Linked DNA regions of Arabidopsis thaliana. The protein of the gene in region 1 purifies or fractionates together with the protein of each later gene. This does not show direct contact. Each region holds a gene or a part of one and is shown in the gene's direction. Other genes may lie near its edges.

Region 1 (3,234 bases):
GGCGTTTGTAAAAGACAGATTACTCATCGAAAATCTGTTACTTGCTACGGAACTAGTCAAGGACTATTATAAAGATTAAGTCTCTACCCGTTGTGCTATTAAAATAGATATCTCGAAGGCGTTTGACTCGGTCCAATTGGCTTTTCTGCTGAATGTTTTATTGGCTATGAATTTTCCTGCGGTTTTTATACATTGGTTAAAACTGTGTATTACTACGGCCTCTTTTTCAGTCCAAGTAAATGGCGATCTCGCTGGTTATTTCCAAAGTGCAAGGGGTTTACGTCAGGGTTGCTCTCTCTCGCCATATCTGTTTGTCATAAGCATGGATGTCCTCTCAAAGATGTTGGATAAGGCTGCCGGAGCTCACAAGTTTGGTTTCCATCCTCATTGTCAACGTTTAAAGCTCACTCATCTAAGTTTTGCAGATGATTTGATGGTTCTAACGGATGGTAAGGTTAGATCCATATAGGGTATAGTGAAGGTTTTTGATGAGTTTTATAAGTACTCTGGGTTAAAAATAAGTATGGAGAAGTCGACAATGTATATGGCAGGAGTATCACCTTTAGTGAAAGCAGAGATTGCAGCTCTTTTCCCTTTTGATATAGGTCAATTGCCAGTTCGATACTTAGGTTTGCCTCTTGTTACTAAGAGACTCATGGCTGAGGATTATGATCCTCTTCTTGAGCAGATTAGGAAACGCATCGCGTCGTGGACTTCACGCTACCTCTCATATGCAGGTAGCTCAACTTGATTCAATCTATCCTCTGGAGTATTTGCAATTTCTGGCTAGGCGCTTTTCGTTTACCGAGACAGTGTATCCGAGAGATTGACAAGATTTGCTCCGCTTACCTATGGTCGGGTTTAGAACTGAGTTCAAAGAAGGCAAAGATATCGTGGGAAAAAGTTTGTAAGCCGAAAATAGAGGGGGGTTTGGGTTTGCGAAGCTTGACAAAAGCTAATGATGTTTGTTGTTTAAAGTTGGTCTGGCGAATCATTTCTAATAGCAAGTCTTTATGGGTTCAATGGGTCACCACATACCTTCTTAGGAGGAAGCATTTTTGGACATTGAAGCAGAATACAAATGCAGGCTCTTGGATTTGGAGAAAAATACTAAAGTACAGAGACAAGGCGAAATAATGTGTACAATGCATCATTCTCTACCAAAGAAACGTGGCACCATATCAGAGCTCCTTCTCCCACAGTCCCCTGGTACAACGGGGGTTGGTTCAATCACGCCACACCAAAGTTTTCGTTTTGTACTTGGCTCGCGGTCCAAGATAGGCTCTCAACAGGGGAGCATATGGTTAAATGGAACAGAGGAGAATCGGGTCTCTGTGTGTTTTGTACTAACACTATGGAAACTCGTGATCATTTGTTTTTCTCCTGCAACTATGTCTCGACAATTTGGGGTGACGTAGCTAAGAAGCTATGGAAGACCAGATTCACAAAGGAATGGCCACAAATTCTGGCCTATGTTTCAGACAAGTCATTACAGCGAGTCGATGGTTTCTTAATCCGGTATGTCTTTCAAGCTACAATACACACAGTTTGGAGAGAGAGGAATGGGCGTCGTCATGGAGAAACACCGAACACCACGTCACACTTGATAACTTGGATAGATAAGCAGGTGATCGAAGATATGACAAGGGCAACGTACAGCTCACTCTAAACATTCTCTAAACACCTTTAATTTCTAACTATTTTTTTTCTCAGCTTTTCTCATTTTGCTAAACGTTGCACGAGTTGTAAAAACGTTTTGTTTTTTTTTGAATATAATTTAACATTTTTTCAAAAAAAAAAGAAGAGTAAATCAAATCTCTCTTTTACTCTTTTTCTTGATCGATTTGAAAGATTCTTCATTCACTCGAATGTTTCTTATATTACATGTGCAGAAGATATGCGTAATGTTTCTTATATTACATGTGCAGAAGATATGCGTGGTCCTATCGAAACAGTGATACGATCTGGAGCTGTACATCGTCTCATTCAGTTTCTTCTCGATGAAAGTTTCCCTAAGCTTCAAGTTAGAAGAAAAATTTCCCCCATCAAGTTGATGTTTTTATTGATGATCAGTGTAATCTTTGATTCTGATATATATACAATGATTCAGGTGCACAACATAAAACAATTTGTCTATTTGCTATCTCACTAAACTAAACTGTTTTCCCCTGGTGATAACAGTCAGTAATCGATGCAAATTTGATTCCAACCTTGGTCAAACTGACTCAGAATGCTGAATTTGACATGAAGAAAGAATCTGTATGCGCAATTTCAAATGCGACCTTACTTGGTTCTCATGATCAAATCAAGTACGTCCCTGTCTTATTTCTTTCTTTTTGCACTTTCAACTTAACATGCTTATAGATGATCATCAAAGTCACAATCTCCATTTATTGGTGTGATTCAGATACATGGTGGAGCAGAGCTGCATCAAACCTTTATGTGATATCCTGTTTTGTCCAGATGTAAAAACCATCTTAAAGTGTCTGGATGGAATGGAAAACACATTGAAGGTTGGAGAGGCTGAAAAGAACGCAGGAGACGACGTGAGCTGGTATACTCGACTGATCGAAGCGGAAGGGCTAGATAAGATTTTGAACCTGCAAAGACACGAAAACATCGAGATCTACGACAAGGCTTTGAAGATTCTGCAGACTTACTGGCTTGAAGAGGATGATGAGGATATACAACAACCTCCAAGTTAATAATCTAGTTAAGTAACATCATTTGTTCAAATATCCTAAAAGATAAGAAAATTCTTTTGCTTATTTCTATTGGTACTTTTTTAACAATACCAGAGAAAACTTCCAAGCATAAACTGTGATACTAAACAGCTTCTGAATCTAATAATCCAAGAGAATAATTACAATGACTTGACTCTCTAATGGTTCACACAAAACCAAGCCTTTATGTCTCTTAACCTCTTGGATTTTTCGGTTCTCACCATAACAAAGGCCTCCCTGAACCTCCCATTGTTCCTATGATCACCCAAAACAAAGCACATAAAGCCCCAATGATCGATAAGCAAAAGAAACCTTTGTTCTTCTTCTTCTTCTTATCGTTGTTTCCTCCAGACTTGTTCCTCTTCACTGCTGAGTCACTATCCATAACAACAACATTATTACCTGTGCTTTTAGAAGTAAACCTGAAACGACCACCACTGGTTGACATTCTAACAAGGTTCAGCTTCACAAATGGATTCTCTGATGCATATGCTGGCTTTGCAGGAATGGA
Region 2 (4,033 bases), 5.8 Mb from region 1:
GCTGCGAACCGGAATTTGGTCCGGTTTAATTGCAATAGGCCAATAACGTAACGATGGAAAAGTAAGCGAAATGGGCGGAGAGTGAGGTGACTATTTTATTTAGGCCCATGGGCCAGGATCCATAAACTGAATAACAAAATATCCGACACCGATTCAGATCGCCGGCGGATATTCAGATCTCCTCCACATTACATTCTCCAAGGAATTTAACCTTTACCTACAAATCTAAGCTTCTGTCGTTGACTTCGAAAACTGATATCTATAAGTCAAAATCCCCATTCTCAATCGCTCATCGTCTTGTAGAACTAATTGACTAAACAATGGCGGACAACACAGGATCCGGTACGTCCATCTCTCTATTTTATGTCTGAATATAATGTTTCATGTCTATATACGGAGTTTTGTGGAATTGAATTTAGATTTTCGTGGAAATTTTGGAACCCTAGGTCTTTGATCCCTCGTAATTCTGTGCAGAGATGAAATCAGGTTCGTTTATGTTAGAGAAATCCGCCAAGATCTTTGTCGCTGGACATAGGGGATTGGTTGGATCTGCCATTGTCCGCAAGCTCCAGGATCAGGGTTTCACCAATTTGGTCCTTCGAACCCATTCAGAGCTTGATCTCACTAGCCAATCAGATGTTGAATCTTTCTTTGCTACAGAGAAACCAGTTTATGTCATCCTAGCTGCTGCTAAAGTCGGTGGGATTCATGCTAACAACACATACCCAGCTGATTTCATTGGGGTCAATCTCCAAATCCAGACCAATGTGATCCACTCTGCTTATACACACGGTGTGAAGAAACTCCTCTTCCTTGGTTCATCTTGCATTTACCCCAAATTTGCTCCTCAGCCGATTCCCGAATCTGCGCTTCTTACCGGTCCGCTCGAACCGACAAACGAATGGTATGCGATCGCCAAGATCGCGGGTATTAAGATGTGTCAAGCTTACCGGCTTCAGCATCAGTGGGATGCTATCTCCGGTATGCCCACGAATCTGTATGGTCAGAATGATAATTTCCACCCGGAGAATTCCCATGTGCTGCCTGCTCTCATGAGGAGGTTTCATGAAGCCAAAGCCAATAATGCTGACGAAGTTGTGGTTTGGGGAAGTGGAAGCCCGTTGAGGGAGTTTTTACATGTCGATGATTTGGCTGATGCTTGTGTTTTCTTGATGGATCAGTACAGCGGATTTGAGCATGTGAATGTAGGAAGTGGTGTTGAAGTGACGATCAAAGAATTGGCTGAGTTGGTGAAAGAAGTTGTTGGGTTTAAAGGAAAGCTTGTTTGGGATACCACAAAACCAGACGGGACACCAAGGAAACTGATGGATAGCTCGAAGCTTGCGTCTTTGGGATGGACACCGAAGATTTCGCTTAAAGATGGCCTCTCCCAAACTTATGAATGGTATTTGGAAAATGTTGTGCAGAAGAAGCAGTAAAAAAAACAAGGTCCAAAACACAAAGCAATATTCATTCTCTTTACACGTGAATGTTTATGCGTTTGATTTTTGGTTCTATACAGATCTCTCTATCTCTTTTATGTAATTTTTGTATTCATGGATTTCATACAGTTCAAGTTAAGCAAACTTACTTTGTAATAAATGTACCATTGTTGTTGAGATTATCAATAATCGAATAGCTTTCTTCTCTAAATTTTAGTCAACTAAACAAGTCTGTTCATTGATAAACTCATTTAGATAAATTTGTGGATTTTGAAATTCTGGTAACCAAAAGATTATGGTTTGCTACGCGCTAATACTGGTGATTGATTACGGCACAAAAGAGCCCAGTAAATAATTATTGGCCCAGTTTAGTTTTGGGCCTTATGGGCCAATATTATCATCGAGCATCCAACGGTAGTGATGGAGATTTCTTTATGGAATATCTGATATCCACCGTTAGATTAAGAGACGAGGTTGGCTCCGAATAGCATATAGTTAAAGGGCAAAACCCTGCGCCGCCCGCGTCTCTCCTCTCTCTGTTTCTTTTCTTTTTGTTTCATTTTCTTATCTCCTCACACTCTTCGAACAAGGAAGAACCCTAATCTCAAGGTAAATTCATTATCACTGTAATTTTCCTTTCTATTAGTGTTTTATCTCTCCGGTTCTAGGGTTTCTCTAATCCCCGATTTTGCAAAATGTCAGATATCTTTCTTTCTTGATTCATTTCGCTTCTTTCTGTAGATAGGATTAGTTTTTGTCGGTGTTTGGGAATTTACTGGGTTTTCAACTTCTCTGTGTGTTTGATTGGGGGATTTGGTATACCTAATCGATTGAAAATGATTAAATTTAGGTTAAAACTACTAGTCACATCACCGTGTCTTCATACGCATCTGAGTTTAAATCTGTTCGCGCTTACTTTCTTCTCACTAGTTTCTTGTATAATAAGAAGTTTTTGTGAATGTATTATTAGCAGTTAATGTGTTCATTGATTCTTTTGGAAGTGATTTGGGGATTGATGGATTTTGCTTCTTATTATGGTTTATACACAGATGAATAGGGAGAAGTTGATGAAGATGGCTAATACCGTCCGCACTGGCGGAAAGGGTACTGTCAGAAGGTATAGAGTTTTATTCAACCAATTTCATTGTTCAATACTTAGCATTTACTATGATTTGTGTTATGAAACCATTCGATTTTTACTTGCAGAAAGAAGAAGGCTGTGCACAAGACCAATACAACTGATGACAAGAGGCTTCAAAGCACTCTTAAGAGAATTGGAGTTAACTCCATTCCCGCTATTGAAGAAGTTAACATCTTTAAGGATGATGTTGTTATTCAGTTCATCAACCCTAAGGGTAAGTCATTTTTAACCATTTTTTATCTATACATCAGAACCTTTTTTTCATGTTACTGATCATTGTTCCTCCTTTGAATGTTACTACAGTTCAAGCTTCAATTGCTGCAAACACATGGGTTGTTAGCGGTTCTCCTCAGACCAAAAGTATTGCATCTCATAATATCTCTTAATCTCTACTTTCTTGTTTCTTCTTCATTTCATCTTCTCTGATTAATGTAAACGTGTTGCTTCCTGCAGAATTGCAAGATATCCTTCCTCAGATCATCAGCCAACTTGGTGTGTACCATGTAACTGTACAGCTCTTAAATGTTCTTCATCGATCCTAAGGTCTCTAACTTTATGTTACTTTGATCTCTTTCAGGACCAGACAACATGGACAACCTGAAGAAGCTAGCAGAACAGTTCCAGAAACAGGCTTCTGGTGAAGGTAATGCCGCCTCAGCAACCATACAAGAAGAGGATGATGACGATGTCCCAGAGCTTGTTGGAGAGACATTCGAAACTGCTGCTGAAGAGAAAGCACCAGCTGCTGCTGCTTCTTCTTAGAGAGAAAAGAGCGAGACCACATCCAAAAAAAAACCGCACTTTGATTTTTACATATCTTTATAATATGTTTGTTCGCTCGATCCTTTTTGTAGTTTCCGACCAGAATCTTGTTTTCCATCTAATGACTTAAGGTTTTTATCCAATTATTTGATGTCTTATTGATTCTTTGACAGCAAATCAGGTCCTCGTCTTCTTCTTCCTCTTCACTATGTGGATTAGAAGATTTTGATGTGACACATTGTCTTGTTGCATAAAAACCATTCCACCTGTACTGTATGAGTTTCTTCTCAAACTTTCCAGACATTTCATCACTTTCTCTACAAATTCTCTCTCAGAGACATGTCTATTCGTCGTCAAATCTCAATCTTTCTGAGTTTTCGTAAACCATGGCTTCTCTCTTTGTTTCTACTCCATCATCTTCCTTAACTCTTAAATCCTGTCACAGTTTGCATCTTCGTCGCTTTGACAGAGCAGAATTTTCGAACTTTGGGAAAGCTTCTGTGAATCAGACAACGAGAAGCAGACATTCTTTGAGATGTTCAGCGGAAGATGATCGCGTTCGTGAACCTGTGAACGAAGCTCCTTCTCCGGTGGCGTTAGCGGAGGAGCAAAAAGAAGACCACGATAACAATAATGCGCCGCCTTCTCCAGAGAGCAGTGAAGAAGAGGAGGAAAAGAAGTCGAAGCA
Region 3 (3,994 bases), about 16 Mb from region 1:
CTTGAGTGATGCAAAACTTAACTGAGAAAAATTTGAAAAGACGACAAGTTAGCTGTGTTTGCAATCAAATGTTGCATTGATAGTATGTGTAGAATTGTTTTCCTGTTTTGTTAGTCATTTCTGTCTTTACTATTTATGTTTTGGAAGCCTATACCAAGGTCTGTCTGTCTTCTGTGTATGTGGATCAGTTCAAAGAAGACTCATATAAATTTGTATCGATATGTTTACTTTTCTTGAATAACTTAACTCTATTCCTACCTAAACAACTTTAAGTATTCATCGGTGAGTTTGCTCTGTGTATTACTTGTTACATCCATAAACTTCAGCTACTTTTCCAGGTTCTAGATACAAAAGAAGTTAGTTATAATTGTTGTTTTCATATCCAGGTTCTGCACACAAAACGGTTCAGCTTTGCTCCTCCAAAAGGATCTGCTGCAGCAGAAACGAATCCAAGCGAGCCTCTTCTTGCTGCTTTAGAAGGGAGCGCTCCAGGTTCCCTCGAGCAGTCTCTTGCATACCTTGATCTCTACATGGTGTCTCAGAATAATGTTGACACATGGCGTCGTGCTGCCTTCTTTGAGGAGTCCACCGAGACGTACAAAAGAGTAATTACTCTATGCTTGAGGCCTTTGGAAGAGCTTGCCTCCAAGTTAGCTTCTGGGCTAGACCACACCTTTACTGAAAAAGGTTATCAGACACCACTCCAGCCACCAACCGAGTCCTTTATTGATCCAAAATTCGGCGAATCACTTAAGTCTTTCCAGGTAAAACGAAATTCAAATTTTGATCCCTTTTCTATGTGATAATTTCTTCATGTAGCTGTAACCAAAATCTGTTTGCTCTGTATCCGATATTTGCAGCTATATGCATGGTGTGCTCAAACATCTGCATCCCTGACTTCAATCTCTCACAAGGAAGACAGGCTCGGAGTAGCTCAACTGTCTGGTGGAAACGCTGATGTTGTCTCAACACTTCTATCGCTTTTGCTAGCTATCGAAACGTTTATGGGGAAGAAGACTAATCTTCAATCACCTCAACAACTGATGGGACCTGCTAGTATCAAATGGGCGACCTCGAGTATGGTCAGAAAAGACGTTAAACCCATCAAAAGGAGTATTGGCGCAATGTACGCCTACGCATATGCAGCGACAGATGTTTTGAGGATATCAGTATACCAGATTCTATCCACATTCCGCGATGAAATGCTCAACAGCGACAGAGCCGGACTTCTTGGTAGAGATTGGATTGGAAGCAAGAAACCACCTTTTGGAACAAACGACATGCTCCTACAGAAGCTTAAGCTCTTCCTCGAGTTCCAAGCTTGATGGAAGATTAAAGAGGTACAATTCCTCGATTAAATGTGGTAACAAGTGTCATCATGATTCAAGAGCTGGATAGAAAAAGGAACTAGAGTATTTTGTTACATGATCAAAAAGCCTTGTATTGGAAAATGAAATCCCTCGATTTTGCAGAAATTTGGGATTAATCTTGTTTTTGGTAAACTAGAAAATTATATAAGAATCAAACTTTAATGGTAAGTTTTGCATCTTAAATCTTGATTACATAAATTTTGCAGAAGACTCTCTATATGCTTAACAGTAACTAACTCTTACGCAATTTACGAAGGAAACCAAAATTAGAATCTGAAATGGGCCAGAGATTTATTAGGGCCCATGGCGTGGCTAATAGTAATATCGAAGGAGAGATCGTGACCGTTGGATGATGATTAATATAATAATTGTATAGTGGTTAAAGCTTAGATTGGCTACATTACACATCGCATTTACTTAAAGGGCAAAACCCTCCAGCGCCGCTTGGATCTCTCTCTCCTCTGTTCTCTCTTCCCTTATCTTCTTCTTATACCCTTCGACCAACGAAGAACCCTAGAAATCGATTAACAAGGTAAGCCCACTTCAGCAAATCGTTCACTCATTTCATTTCCAAGATATTCGATTGTTTCCTTCTGATTTAGCACAAGGGTCAAGATCATTTTTTTGTTTTTGTTCTTCCTCGATTCATATGTTTTTTTTCATTGATTACTGTTTTTGATATTGGTTATCTTGTTTTCCAATAACTTGTTAGTTAGTTAAAAGTAATGTTTGTGTAATGGTGACCTAATCGATTGAAAAAATTGAAACTTTAGGTTAAGCTCATTGTAACAATACGAGCTTTGTTCTTCTCGCTGCACTGTTCTCATAATCCTAGTGTAATCAATTTGTGGGTTGTGACTATTGCTCAGTATTACTGTTTTTGTCATTGGCTAATTAATAACAGTATTAGTTATTGTATATGCTTAATTTATAAGATACATTTTGGGCTAAATGGGTTTAGCTTTGTGTGTTTGTTTTGAAAAACAGATGAATAGGGAAAAGTTGATGAAGATGGCTAACACTGTCCGCACTGGCGGAAAGGGGACAGTAAGAAGGTATACTCATTTATGTCTTTTCTGTGAATTTGTGTTTTTGCCATTTTTCATGTTATATTCTCTAAACATTTTGACTCTCATTTCAGAAAGAAGAAGGCTGTTCACAAGACCACTACAACCGATGACAAGAGGCTCCAGAGCACTCTTAAGAGAGTTGGAGTCAATTCCATTCCCGCCATTGAAGAAGTTAACATTTTTAAGGATGATGTAGTCATTCAGTTCATTAACCCTAAAGGTAAAACATCAAATTTTATGGCTTTATAAATCTCAGGTTTCGTATAAAATTTATTGTATTAATGGTTGTTGTGTCTCTGTTTTAATGTTGCTATCACAGTTCAAGCTTCAATTGCTGCTAACACATGGGTTGTGAGTGGTACACCACAGACGAAAAGTAAGTGTTTGTATCCTCATTGTTGATCCAATACTATTCTCGGTTTATGCATAGTCTAATCTCGGAATGTGAATTATCCTGCAGAATTGCAAGACATTCTTCCTCAGATTATCAGCCAACTTGGTATGCAGCATTAAGTGTTACACTCTGATGTCCTTTCCCAAACCAGTGGTCCCTTAAGTTAACATTTTGTTTTCTTGCTTTGATAATCGCAGGACCAGATAACTTGGACAACCTGAAGAAGCTAGCAGAGCAATTCCAGAAACAAGCTCCAGGTGCAGGTGATGTCCCAGCAACAATCCAAGAAGAGGACGATGATGATGATGTCCCAGATCTTGTAGTGGGAGAGACTTTCGAGACCCCTGCTACTGAAGAGGCTCCCAAAGCTGCTGCTTCTTAGAGGAGGAGGAAGAAGAAGGAGAAGAGCTCACCTGCAAAACCCATCATAAAAATGTTTGTCGCTCGACCTCTTCTGAGCACTGTCAGATTCTTGTTTTCTCTAATGCTTGCGAACAGAAAGACTTGGTTTTATTATCACTTGATGCTTTTTGGTCCGAACAGCAATTTTCCTTTTATTAAGGTTAGATCGCTTTTTGTTTACCACCTGTTCAAATGAGTACTACTATGTCCTGTCGCTTCATACACTTCTTGCAACACAGTCCTTTGTTTTGAGTCAACGATGTCTTGAGATGAACAATCAACAGTTTCGTACATTTAAATGGAAATTCCAAAGATTTTACATATTTCCAATTATTGGATGTAAACATTCCATAGAAATACAACACTCTGAATGCAATCAAGTAATCATGATTGTTTCGTTTTCGATCTCTTCCGCTTTCCCCTGTTGTGCTAGTGTTTCGTAAAGCGGAGCGTTTCGAGTTTCTCGTAGCCAGAGACTCACGATGCCGCTCAGCACTGATGCAACACCAAACACGATGAACGACATCATTGCGCTTTCCCTTCCTAACGCAACTAGCAGTGGTGCTGCAGACGCTCCTAGCATAAACGCTTGACGCAAAAGTGAGACAGCAGTGTTCCTAACGTTTGTTGGGAACAGCTCTACGCAGTAGACATATAGGACGTCATACGCTGTCGAGGATGCCATGAACCCAACCGCCTCAACTGCAAGTTGTAACCATTTTGCCACAGATATCGCACGGATCACGCGGTGGATCGAG

The links.
Region 2: the proteins of AT1G32880 (region 1) and BTF3 fractionate together in Arabidopsis thaliana (co-fractionation; one large-scale study listed by BioGRID). This does not show direct contact.
Region 3: the proteins of AT1G32880 (region 1) and AT1G73230 fractionate together in Arabidopsis thaliana (co-fractionation; one large-scale study listed by BioGRID). This does not show direct contact.

The regions. Positions count from the first base shown.
Region 1 is NC_003070.9:11,913,399-11,916,632, reverse strand, and holds AT1G32880 (ARM repeat superfamily protein), read left to right. Parts: upstream 1-1,897; coding exon 1,898-2,023; intron 2,024-2,181; coding exon 2,182-2,309; intron 2,310-2,407; coding exon 2,408-2,705; downstream 2,706-3,234. Other genes in the region: NAC13 (NAC domain protein 13), read right to left, coding at 2,941-3,234.
Region 2 is NC_003070.9:6,151,884-6,155,916, reverse strand, and holds BTF3 (basic transcription factor 3), read left to right. Parts: upstream 1-1,934; 5' UTR 1,935-2,051; intron 2,052-2,491; coding exon 2,492-2,559; intron 2,560-2,648; coding exon 2,649-2,797; intron 2,798-2,886; coding exon 2,887-2,943; intron 2,944-3,036; coding exon 3,037-3,075; intron 3,076-3,160; coding exon 3,161-3,345; 3' UTR 3,346-3,533; downstream 3,534-4,033. Other genes in the region: GER2 (NAD(P)-binding Rossmann-fold superfamily protein), read left to right, coding at 321-342, 475-1,439; EGY3 (ethylene-dependent gravitropism-deficient and yellow-green-like 3), read left to right, coding at 3,732-4,033.
Region 3 is NC_003070.9:27,539,728-27,543,721, reverse strand, and holds AT1G73230 (Nascent polypeptide-associated complex NAC), read left to right. Parts: upstream 1-1,769; 5' UTR 1,770-1,902; intron 1,903-2,357; coding exon 2,358-2,425; intron 2,426-2,511; coding exon 2,512-2,660; intron 2,661-2,759; coding exon 2,760-2,816; intron 2,817-2,900; coding exon 2,901-2,939; intron 2,940-3,031; coding exon 3,032-3,216; 3' UTR 3,217-3,494; downstream 3,495-3,994. Other genes in the region: AT1G73240 (nucleoporin protein Ndc1-Nup protein), read left to right, coding at 387-764, 861-1,325; OCT1 (organic cation/carnitine transporter1), read right to left, coding at 3,613-3,994.